Linked DNA regions of Mus musculus: regions 2 and 3 are each reported to be linked to region 1. Evidence: microRNA targets listed by miRTarBase, many of them from high-throughput screens and not tested one by one. Region 1 holds a microRNA gene; each other region holds the end of a gene's coding sequence.

The links. The annotated mature microRNA mmu-miR-3080-3p reads UCCUCGGGCAAAGCGCUUGACA and lies in region 1 at 2,916-2,937, shown strand. An mRNA with a match to its seed (bases 2 to 7 or 8) in the 3' UTR can be bound and repressed. Matches are read on the target gene's strand: a 7mer-m8 pairs with bases 2 to 8, a 7mer-A1 pairs with bases 2 to 7 and ends in A, and an 8mer does both.
Region 2: the mRNA of Spock2 is a reported target of mmu-miR-3080-3p. Seed matches in the 3' UTR shown: 7mer-m8 at 2,463-2,469.
Region 3: miRTarBase lists Tbl1xr1 as a target of mmu-miR-3080-3p. Seed matches in the 3' UTR shown: 7mer-m8 at 2,321-2,327.

The regions. Positions count from the first base shown.
Region 1 is chr15:82,958,015-82,962,164 of GRCm38, reverse strand. Mir3080 (microRNA 3080) reads left to right here and starts at 2,869; the gene lies at 2,869-2,947. It also overlaps a transcript of Tcf20 not described here.
Region 2 is chr10:60,130,710-60,134,709 of GRCm38, forward strand. Spock2 (sparc/osteonectin, cwcv and kazal-like domains proteoglycan 2) reads left to right here. Exons shown (of 11, transcript NM_052994.2): 10 at 375-512; 11 at 627-3,205. The coding sequence ends at 772. Among named protein-coding and RNA genes, the nearest start is that of Mir6906, 5.9 kb to the left of the region's middle.
Region 3 is chr3:22,209,730-22,213,729 of GRCm38, forward strand. Tbl1xr1 (transducin (beta)-like 1X-linked receptor 1) reads left to right here. Exons shown (of 16, transcript NM_030732.3): 16 at 672-4,000. The coding sequence ends at 698. Among named protein-coding and RNA genes, the nearest start is that of Tbl1xr1, 140 kb to the left of the region's middle.

The sequences.
Region 1 (4,150 bases):
AGAGTCCCCTGAGGCCGGGCTTCTCAGCTTCTTCTGCACACAACCAGCATAACGCCCTGTGAGCCATTTATCCTCTGCTCTGGGGTCTTCCCTGCCTAAGATAGCCTGCTCCCTTGAATACCACCCCTTAAGCCTCAGCACCCAACTGTGTCTTGCCCCGCCCCACCCCCACCCCATCCCTCATCTATTAGGCAGGTAGACTGTGTGCACCCTCTCAAAGGTACCCCCAGCTCTTGGAAACTCCTTCCTTTTAGGGCATTTAGAGTGGTAGGAGGCTTCCAGGTCTGTGTCCCCCCCCCCAAACCCCCAAGGAGCCTGGGAGCTCCAGGAGACTAGGTTGATGGGTCTCCAGGGTCTAGTCAGAGCTAGACTCCTGTGCCTGCTTCATGGTCTTTGAGGAACGCACTTGAGCAAGAGCAGAGAGGATCCCACACTTGTAGATGATCATTGACTTGCAGAAAGCCTGTCTCTTTTAGGGGGCAGGGCTCCTGCTGAGGAGGGTGCCCAATTGAGGACCCAGAATCGATTTGGCAGCCAGTCACCCCCAGCCCTCCAGGTCAGGTGCCCTCCTGGTTCTCTGCCACCTGTATTTGCTGGGGGTAGTAATGGTGGATACTTAGACTGAAGACAGGTTCCAGGGACCACCGGCTCCCTCTGCCTATCAAAGCCCACCCCCCATGTCCTCCTCAGGAGCAGGGAGAGTTATGTCAGGCCCTCTGGCTGGGCGCCAGGGCTCCCCATGGAACTATAAATTGACCTGTCGGGAGAGGGAAGAGATTAATGTCGGCCATCTTCATTAGCGCGTCCCCCGGGGTGACGGCGTCTGCCCTGAGCTGGCTGATTGGAGAGGGTGAGAGGTGGTGGCTAGGCCCCCCTACCCCCCACCCCCGCCACCAAAAGGCAAGGGGCAGAGGCCAGGGCCTGCCGGAGAGCCTTGGCCTCCTCCCACTGCTGGAGGGGCCGTCCCCGTGGCCTCTGCCTCTGGCAGCAGGCACACGCTTTGATGGAGGACCTGAGTGCTAATTGGGGGCAGAGATGCGCGGCCCGCAGCTCTGCGGGGCTCCCAGGCTGACACCGCCAGCTCAGCGGCATCGAAGGGCCTTCATTAGAGGCTTTTCCCCTGACCAGAAAGGAGCCCGCTGCGGGCTGTGGGGGGCTCCCCTCCTTTCCTCTCCCCTCCACTTTCCTCTCCCCTCCCCCCTTTCCTTCTTTATTGCGTTGATGATGGGGAAGGAGGCGGCTTTGGCGTGTGGCAGAGATGATGAGGGATTGGAGGAGCTATCTGAGTTTGAGACCTTGTATGTCCTGGAGACTCTGACCTTGGTCTGGGCTTTATGCTCTTCACTGGAGGGTCCTTGTCTGGTTGTCCCCCTGGGGTGTGGTGGGGGATGGGCATCAATGAGAGAGCCCCGTGTGGAGGCGTGCCTTACAAAAACAACGTGGATAGAATCGAGCGGGAGGGCCAGGCTGTGTGTGGGTTTGAGTCCTGTGAGGTCCAGGGCCAGGTAAGCCTCAGTTTCCTGGTTTGACAATTGCTGAGGACCAGTGTTAGTAAGAGGTCTTTTCGTGGTCAGGAGCTGAATCTGATCCCTGAACAGTCGCCCCTGGGGGCCTGGCGGCAGCAGCAGGTGGAAACATTGGATTGTCTATTATATTCTCTCTCCCTCCCTCCTTCCCTCCCTCTCCCTCCCTTCTCCTCCCTTGCTTCCCCCCCTCTCTGCTCAATGTCTCTCTATCTCTCTCTCATGTGTGTGAGTGTGCATTAGTCTCTCTTTGTCTCTCTGTGTATCTCTGTCTCTGTTGTCTCTGTCTCTGTCTGTGTTTCTGTCTGTCTCTGTCTCTCTCTGTCTCTCTGTCTCTGTCTCTCTCTCATATGTGAGCCTGTCTCTCTCTGTGTCATCCCCCCCCCCAAATCTCTCTCGCACTTTCTCACTTGTTCAGAAGAATCTACTGTCCCAGGGACTTATCCGCATAATGGTAGCCTTACCCTTTGACACTCCTCTAGAGAAACAGACCCAGGAACAAATAATCAGGCCTCAAGAACAGCTGGTACCCTGCAGAGAGTCTCCCCAGGCAGAAGGCTGCCTGGAAGGTTCTAAAGGCACTATTGAAGGAGAAATGGCATTGCTTTCTCACATAGACCTTATTTAGACCAGATTTGATACAGGGAGACTACCTAGTCACTGAGTTCCTGGCCCACCTGGCTCCTAGACCTGACTGCCCATCCAAGGGATGGATAGTCCTCTGAGTTCACAGTTCCTTGAGTTTCTTGGAGAACCCACCCCTTGCCCAGTGTCTCTTAGCCCTAAACTGGGGTCACCGGCCTTAGGTCTGTACCTCCTTGGTTTGTAAGGGTGTAGGTGAACACCAGAGGGACTCCTTCTTGTAGGATGGGCGGGCTCCCACCAGTGAGGGGCCCATAGAGACACAGTCTCACAGAGCCCGGGCTACCTTGGTACTACATAGTAGAAGGTGGACTCGAACCCCTTTCTGATCCTCCTGCCTCCATGGGATTACAAGTGTGCACCTCTGTGTTCAGCTTCCAAGGGTCACTTTCCAAGGCATGTAGCTTCGTTCCTCCAAGCCTCTGTGTCCCTGTTTCCTGGTCCTGGAGTAGGGGAGTCGCATGCTAACTCGTGCGGGGGGGGGGTGCAGAACGCAGCAGAGAAGGCACTGGTTTTTGTGGTCATCGATGACTCCAGGCTGCTTCCCCAATGGCTCTTGTGTGCCTCCTGGCAACCTGTGCTATTTACAGCACTCTGGAGAAGTGGGGAGTGGCTTGTCTGAACCTTTCCATCTTTCTAGCTGCCAGCTGGGGGAATACTTAGCACCCTCTGCACCCTGTGGAATGTTTGAACAAAAGTCCACGGTTTGAGATCTGAAGCGCCTGTTCTTGGATCGTGGCCCTGTAGTCATCCTCGGGCAAAGCGCTTGACATCTCTGTGCCTCCTTTCTCGTCTGGAGACCCGAGATGTCACAGACTGAAAACTATAGTGTAGATCACATTGGCTGTTAAATGCCCATCTTGTGGGAAGAGAACCCTGAGTTCTCTTTGCAACCCCAGCGGCTTTGCTTTGTGACGTCCCTCCTGACTCTTTGGGGGCATCTTTCATGGGACTGTGTTGTCTACCTGTCCCTACAGAGCTTTCTGAGACTACAAATACATGGGAGTGGTGGGAAGGACTTAGAGGGCTGGGCAATTTCTGGAACCTTCCAGGCTCCCTATGGGGACTTCCAGGGTTCCCAGCTTCCTATCTGGAAAATGGGACCAGACAGCCAGTTCTCACCAGCCCTTAGCTGTCTAGTTGCGTTTAACCTGATCCTATCTTCAGTGAGTCTGCTGAATGGCCCCCAGCCCAATTACATGCACGTTGGAGGACACTGTCATTTCAATTGTAATATGTTAAGATCGCCCTTTGAGAGTCACGTGTTGAAAGACGATGGTGCAGAGGTGCCTATTGTTGCTGCCTCTGCGTGCCCAGCCAGTCCCGCCTGGCAGCTTCCTTGCAGGAGCTGGCAACATGGCTGTCTGCCTCCGCCTCTCCGAGCAGGCAGGAATCACTAACGCGTTAGCAGTTTCATTAAGCCTCTCGCCAGCCTCCCCGCCTCCCTCCCAGCCTCCTCGGTAATTATTTCCCCAACCCTTCCACTCGCAGCTCTCTGGGATTGGCTGAGTAGCCCCCACCGCAGCTGGGTTGCTGGGGCCGTGCTGTGCCCCGGAGCCCCCTGGGCAACTCCCTTCTGACTCCCCTCGTTGCCATGTCAGCTTTGTGTCCCCCTGAGGCCTCCGTGAGAATGCAGATCTGCTGCCTGGCAGGGGTGCCAGTTAACCCGTTACTACCCTCCACATGTGCAGGCCTCCTCTGCACAGCAGACCTCCTCTGACCAGGCATCTCCTGGGACTGTAGCAGAGTGGGCACCGAGGACCCGGCTGTGAGGGAGGAGATGGACTTAGCAGATCATGCAGCCCAGGGCATGTGTGGGTATGGAGCATCCTGAAGACCTCCTCCCCAATCCATAAGATGAACATGAGACCCACCCCTCTGGCCTCAGTGACGGAATGGGAAATGGGCATATGTCCCTTCTTTGCTAGTCTAACCACAGGCCTTCTTGTGTTTTCACCCGGATCTGCTTGCATAGGGACCCCCTG
Region 2 (4,000 bases), not on the chromosome of region 1:
CTCAGAAGATGCCTTGTGGACAGTTTGGGGACCTGAGAGAAATGAGTGAGCCCCGAAGAAGGAAGAGAAACTCCACATTCCTAGCTGGAGACAAAACCAAGAATAGGATCGAGCTTTCTAACATGTGGGGCCAGACTGTCCTACAAGATGAAGGCCATGACACCAGCACTTGATAGCATCCTTGAAGAAGCCTGAGCATGTGACACAGGGACATTGGGGAAGGAAGCTTTGTGCTTCCAGTCAGTAGCCCTGAGTGTCTGGTTTCTTAGGGGGTGGGTATCAGTACCAAGCTGGCCAGGTTCTCAGGCCATCGAGGCCCCTGCTCGCACACGACTCCAGAGCCCACACTACGGGCTCTTTGCCCTAACCCTCAGGTGTCTTCATCCCGAGCTGTGATGAAGATGGCTACTACCGGAAGATGCAGTGTGACCAGAGCAGAGGTGACTGCTGGTGTGTGGACCAGCTGGGCCTGGAGCTGACCGGCACACGCATGCATGGGACCCCTGACTGTGGTAAGGAGCATGCGGCTAGTTCTCAGGGTGGCGTACGTGGGGCAGGACTCCAGGCTCAGAAAGTAGACACAGTGTGTGGGTTCCTTACCGGCCTTTCGTGTGCTTTCCCAACAGATGACATCGTGGGTTTCTCCGGGGACTTTGGAAGCGGCGTTGGCTGGGAGGATGAGGAAGAAAAGGAGACAGAAGAGGCAGGGGAGGAGGCCGAGGAGGAGGAGGGTGAGGCGGGTGAGGCAGATGATGGAGGCTACATCTGGTAGATAGCCCTCGACGGCCTCGGCAGGCCAGGGTGCCGACGGCCAGAAAGACAGGCCAGAAGAGACCTGGACAACAGCAGGCAACTTAGCAAATGGATCCGGAAGTCAGTGCGGAGGACCCTGGCTCCAGTGGGGGAGGACTGGGGAGTGTGGCTTGTGTGTATGTGTGATATGAGATGTGTGTGTATGATGTGAGATGTGAGTGTGTGATGTGAGATGTGTGTATGTGAGATGTGTGTGTGTGTGTGTGTGTGTGTGATGTGAGTCACCCAAAGGTCCCTATGTTATTGATTTTCAAATGCACACTTTCACACACAAGGATACACTAACAGACCAAAATCAATGAGATGTCCCTGATCCTGCCCCTCAGCCCAACACCTGGAATCCCTGCCCTGCCTAATCAGCCCTACCCCATCCTGCCTTTCTTCCTTCCTCTTCTGAGGCCAGGGAGAGGGAGGGAGGGCAGGCAGCTGAAAGCTGAGCGTCCTCCCCAAATTGGGCTGATTTGATATGAAAGCCCCACCACGGTCTTGTGGTGATGAGGCAGGACCTGTACACACAGCAAGGCTTACTATCCGTCTCCTGACATCCGAAGAGCTCGTCGCAGGTGTGTCTAATGGCCCTTGGGCTGCACGTGGTTAAGCATAGCTGTCTCTGTGGCCCAACACAAAGAGGTAAACTTACTTAAAACACAGGGGTTTTGTTGCTGTTTGTTTTTTGTTAGTTTGTTTGTTGATAATTGGATTGAGGAGTTAATCCTCTGTCACAATGTCAAAAGCATGGACATCCCTGATAGATTATCTCTCAACCTAGTCCCGAGTAACCAGAGATAGCTCAGCAGAAGAGGCAGAAATCATGAGACAGAGGACAATGGGTCCCTTGATTTCAGGCCTCAGATTAACCCAGTCAGCACCTGTGGCCTCATGGGGCTCTGGGCTGCTTTCTTGGCGAATGGGGACTGTCATCATATAGCTGAGATTTGGAGTAGCCTGCTATGAGGGCTTGCAGTTGCACTCTCTGTTCCCTGGCGAGGGTCCCCCTTGTCCCAAGGAGCAGAGGACCAGCAAGCAGCCCGTGTCTGCTCACCTTCTCCCTGACCCTCTAGGAAATGGTTCCCTCTTGCCCCGACCAATAGAAGGGCGTGTCCCCGAGACCCTTGTGAGGAACCACGGGGAGCTGTGACTTCCTGTGCCCAGAAGGTCCTGGAGGAGAGGCCCCAAAGCCTTAGTCCTCTCAGCCATGACTTTCCTCTGTCTCAAGGGTCCCCAAGATGGCCCTAGAAGAACCATGCCCCAGACTCTATTTAAAGCCCTATAGCATATATGAATAGAGAACGGTGTATCTATCAGAGGGGACCACACTGAGCAGCTAGGCCCTGATGCCATGCCTCAGCACGCCCTCAGACCTCCAGGCCGGGTGGAAGGGGCTTTTACCCAGATGTCCTGTGGGGTTTTGTGTGTCTATTGCTCCCCACTTCCCCCTCTCAAAGGAAATTTCCTTGATATATTTGATGAAGAATTCCTTACCTGGGCCTCTGATACCCTTTGGTACGCGTACGTGTGTGTGGCGCGTATACGTGTGTGTGTGTGTGTGTGTGTGTGTGTGTGTGTGTGTGTGTGAGAGAGAGAGAGAGAGAGAGAGAGAGAGAGAGAGAGAAAGAGAGAGAGAATGAGAGAGAATGAGAGAGAGAATACCCGAGGGCCACCCTGATGCCCAGGAAGAGTGAGGGCAGCCCCCTGTGTGGTGGAAGAGGCTGGGCAGCTAGCTACTGGGGACCTTGTGCTGAGGCTTCCAGGACAAAGCCCCAGTCTGGCTCTCCCCCAGCCTCTCAGGGGCACTGGCTGGTCACATCCACTGAGTATTGATCGGTTGGACTTTAGGGAAGAGCCTCCTCCTTCCCATTCCTTTCTGCCACCCTGGAATGGCCACCTTAATCGTCATCTCCTCGGGGGGAATACGGAAATGTCACCAAGCTCCATAAAGTGCTTCTCATTCCACGACACAGTTCTGACTCTCCGGGTGACTGTCACCTGCTCCCATCCTCTTCTTCCTCCCTCCCTTCCTCAGACCTCTGCAACCATCCTCTGGTCCCTGGCTCAGTCACATCAGCCCTCTGCATTCTAGAAGCAGCCATCCCGCCCCCCTCTCTCCTCCCCCTCCTCCCCTTCCTCCTCCCTCCAGCTGGAGTTACTTGAAACTTCCTGCTCTCGCTAGGATGGAGTCTGATTCTTTCTCTGCCCCAGCTGGATTTCCAGAACATCCCCGGGTAGCTGTGAAGGATTTTAGGCTCTCTGGGGTGGGGAGGGGGTGGTGTAGAGGAAGACGCATCCCCTTCTTTCACCCTGCCCCGCCCTGCCCCGCTGGGGAGCTATGCTCTGTGTGTCCCTGGATCTTCTGGTTTTGTATCTGATGTAGTAAACATGTTTTAGTAAGAAAGCAGAAGGCGTGGAACTGTGGCAGGCCCCAGGGGTCCAGAAGTTTGTCCCTCTCTAAAACGCTCCCCACCCCATACTGCTTTTCACCCCACTGAGACCGAGTCCCACAAAGGTAGGCAGAACAGCTGTTCCTGGTGGGGCTGAAGGTTCCCAAGTAGCTTCTAGTTAAGCAAGCTTCGTGTTTCCTCAGGAGCAAGGTCACACAGGTCAGATTATTGTCGGTCCTGCGGGCCTCATCCTTGAATAAGCTGCCTGCCCAGTTCCTCCATCCGTGTTCCTGCCTGCTCCCGTTCCCTTGTTGCGGGCAGGAGAGGTAGGGCTGTGTTGGAAAGAGTTCAACCAAATTACGGCAGCACCACATCTTGCCGAGCCCTGGAGCTGCCCTACTAAGAGCCTCCTTAGCCCTGGGTGCTGGGAAGGATGGTGTACGTTGGGGAAGTTTGAGGTTGGAGAGAGTAAATGTGCCTTGAGAGACCACTCAGAGGTCCCAGGAGGAACGGGGGCGGGGCTTAGCCTGGGAGTTCTGGCAGGAGGCAAAGTTGGTGAGAGTCCTGGGACATCTTACCCCCAGTGTTCCACAGGAGTCGTGACCACGTGTGATGGGTGGGCACAGGTCTGCCTTGCTCCAGCCCCCTCCCTTGGTTTCTGTTGGTACCCATTTGGCTTTTATCTGCTTTCTGCTTCACCACTAAGTGCGTAGGTGGGGTCTTTTGATATCGGCTCCCCAAAGCCCAAGCCCACAGCCCTAGGAGAGAACCAGGGGCCCATCTTTGACACCTGGGCCATCACGAGCCCT
Region 3 (4,000 bases), not on the chromosome of region 1:
AGGCTGTGTGCTAAATATGCTCATTACATTTGTATAAGTAAATCTTAGGGGTGACTTTGCCAAAGAAGACTCAAACAAGTAATGAGTGATTTTCAATGTAACCTTCCATTTGTGGAATTAAATGTAATGAAGTATCTCTTGCTAAATGGTATTTTTAAAGCCCTTTCCCCAACTCTCCCCTCTGAAGTGGAGTGTTGGAGGATGAAGAATGGAGGCTGATTTCTGTGGGGAGATATTTAATACTGACCTTCAGGATGTTGTTAGTAGATACTTGGGGGGCCGGGGGAGGTAGTATAGCCTCTCCCGTTGTAAATCAGGGAAAGCAGGAGAGAGGAAAGCAGAGCTGTTTGTTGAGATGACCCCGTAACACCTGTGTTGTGTTCAGACCTGAGTCTGCTCTGTATGTTCCCCATCCCCCTTTTACTGACTTTAAAGACCTAAACCTAAAACTTTGAGCAGCATTTCCTCAGTTACTGTAGCTTGGTAGTGATCACATCACAGCATATTGGCCCGATGTCCTTCATCAGTTAAGGTTTCTTTCCATAATTTGTTACTTTGATTTTATGAATTTGCATCTTAGATTGTAAATTACATTGTATTCTTTATAGAAGTTAAGCTTGCAATGTAAGGTAGATTTCTTGATACTGGCTGACTGTTGTCATCTCTTACAGGTTTGTGTCTTAGACCTTCGGAAATAGCGTTACTAGTTGGAAGCCATGGACCGACTATGAATGTGTACATAGCCACAAGACTATCCCTGACCCATATACTGCTATAGTCCCACTTGAACCATGGCCAGTCCACTACAGCCAAATCTAAGAGAAATATATACATGCAGTATATATGAACACAGCTGTACCCTGAAGATGACAGTCTCATCCCAGCTTGTGAATTCTGCTCACCAAGTGCTGGGATCTAACCTGCTGTGCCCCTAAGTAGCGTTTAGAAGTTTGGATATGAAAACCAGAAGAGAAGGAATATGCGTTATAAGAGCAAACCACACATGTCCCAGTTTTGAATATTAATGACAGCCTTGTTTCCCCCTTTGAATCAGCAGACACATGGATTATATTCTTTTTCCCCTCAGTAGTGCGCAGTTTGTATGTACAGAGAACATGGACTTAACAAAAGCTTGCGGCAGTAGTTGGTTCTTGCTTCCAAGTTTGTTTTGGTTTAGATTATGGATGCATGAAGTAAGGGAGTGAATCATTATCTTGCTTTTTTTTCTCACCTTTTAAACAACAAAAAAATTCTTAAAAATATTTTACTGCATTCTTTGGAAGAGGTAGATGTTTGGTACATCTGATGGCTCCCAGAGCATATAACTCAATAGGTGCATATTATGGAGGGAATTGGAATAATAGGAAACTACATGACTTCCGTCATGTCACTCTCTAAGACACATCAGCAAAGGGTGTTATGTTATCTTTGTTTTGGGTTTCTGGGTTTTTTGTTTTAGTTCTTTGTGTGTGTGTGTGTGTGTGTGAGAGAGAGAGAGAGGGGTGGGGAGGAGAGAGAGCGCTTAAAATAGTTTCTTTTTGGGGACATATTTCTGCCAATTAAAGACTAGAAGGGCACAACTTTTTTTTTTTTTTAATACCATAAAGAAGAGTTTGGTTTTTTTTTTTCTAAATAATAATCTTCTGATGTTTTGTAGCCATAACTAAATTATGGTTAAAAATGTGCACTATTGTGAGAAGGAGCAACATAGTTTGGGGCTTTTATTTTATTATTTTTATTTTTTATTTTACCATTTGTCTGTTTTACTTTGTTTCTTAAGAGATTAAAATATTTCTGGATAAGGATTAGCTTCTCAAAGTGTCCATCATTCTGTATAGAAGCTTAAATATGTAATGTAACCAGATTCCAGTATTAAAAAATCTCTCATGTTAGTTTTCTTTTTACAAAGCAAGGTTACAGCAGCATATAACACTGCCATTACATGGCTAAATGTTTGCTACCTTAGTTTTGAAAACAGTTTTTAAAGGCTTGCTTTGAGCTATGTTTGGGTAGCAGTGATGGGGAAATTAGGAGAGGTGTGGCTGGAGCTATCCCTCTGCCTGCATATACGGCGCCAAAGCTGCACTTAAGCATTGTAGATCTAAGCTGCTGTTTTGTTTCCACTATAATCACTACTATATCATGTTTTTTACTCTTGTTTATATCAAGTATTTTTTTTTTAAAGATATAGGTATCCAATCAGATTCTTTTTTTTTGGTTTTTTTTTGAGACAGGGTTTCTCTGTATAGTTCTGGCTATCCTGGAACTCACTTTGTAGACCAGGCTGTCCTCGAACTCAGAAATCCGCCTGCCTCTGCCTCCCGAGGGCTGGGATTAAAGGTGTGCGCCACCACGGCCGGCTTCAATCAGACTCTTTATGTTCAGCTAAAAGTAAAATATACCTACAAAGGTTCACCAGAGGCTGTGTTTGTGAAGGTGGTTGACAGGATAGTCGATATTAATGGAAGAACCCAGGAGTGTAGGTTCTGAAGAGAAAGAACAGTTGTCAAATTTATATCTTTAAATTTTTAATTAAGAAATTGCTTAGCAAATTTATAACACTATGTGTGTCAGTAGTTATTTTGAGGCCTTTGGCTCCTGAATCCCACCCTGTGTTCTACGAAACTGCTCTAACCCAGCCCCGCAGCTTTGCTGCTCTGTTTTTGCTGCCTTGTTCTTTACAAAGCAGCGTTGATTGACGCCAGTCTTGGCTTCATTAAGGTAGGGTGGCATTTGCTTTTGGTAAAGAGGATGGATACACTTACATTTTACCATACATCGTTATATCTACCCCATTTTGTTAGTGGGGTCTATGATACTGTAATATTAAGAGTTGCATCCAGAGAGGCAGTCGTCTATGGTTTGTGCCAGGTGTTTTCAGGGTTCTATCACATTGAGACATTTAGAACCCATTGCTCTGTGGCTCTGTAGGAATTCTAAAATGCTGAGTGTCTGCCACTTGAGATTTTGCTTTTACTGCAAGAGGGTCACATCTGTTGGCCTCTGTTGTTGTTTAAAAAAATAATAATAAAAATAAAAAAACTGTGCAATAATTTTTAAACGTGCTCCCAAGAATAGACACAAACTTTTTGAGTATGCCTAAGCTGCATTTCCTTCAGCGATGCATTTGTCAATTGCACTGAATCTGAACCTGAAAGTCAGAGGTGATTGTTGATAGTGCTTTTGTATTTTGATATGGACATTTTATTCATTTGCATACAGTCATTGACGTTCTTCCCAGCTGATTCAAAGACAGTCACAAATTCCTGAAACACAGCTGCCAAAATGACAGCTGAATTTTCTGATAATGTCTTGCTTTCTGTTGGGTGTGTGTTTATTGGTTTGTTTTGTTTTGTTTTATTTTTTTTTTTCCTATTTCTTTGGCTATTTTACTTCAGCACACTAGCTGTGATAGATTGTCTGATAGAAGAGAAGTGCAGAGCTTTGCTGTCCCAAAGCCTCGGGTCTTTCCCTCGCAGATGTGGCTGAAGACATCTACCTTTAGGCTGGTTCTCTGTGAGCGTAGGACTGTGTGCTTTGCTGCTGCTCTCACTGTCCCTGTAGCCTGCTGACGTGCCATGATGCTGCTCCACAGACACCACACCATGTCTTCATCCAAGCAGTCAGATGATCACCAGAGACCACACTTGAGTGTGTCAAGTGCTGTCATGGGGCTCTCTACTTTCCTTCTTGTCTTTTTCTGAGAATTGGCTCTGAAAATCCAGAGTCCAGTAGTCTTTCTATGGTGTTCATTTAGATCATTGTTGTATATGTTACTGTAAGGCAGAGAATAGGAGGCTTAAATGAATATCATTGATTAAAGTAGACTGGAGGGAGCAGCTGCCACCCTTGAAAGGCATGAAGGAACCTGTGTACTCCAGGCAGGAGACCCTTGGGGACTTAGATTTATCCCTATTTTCCATGATCAGGTAACATCATTGAGTTTTCAAATGATTTAGGCGTGGTTACTGGAGTAGGTCTTAGAGTGTAACAGATTGTT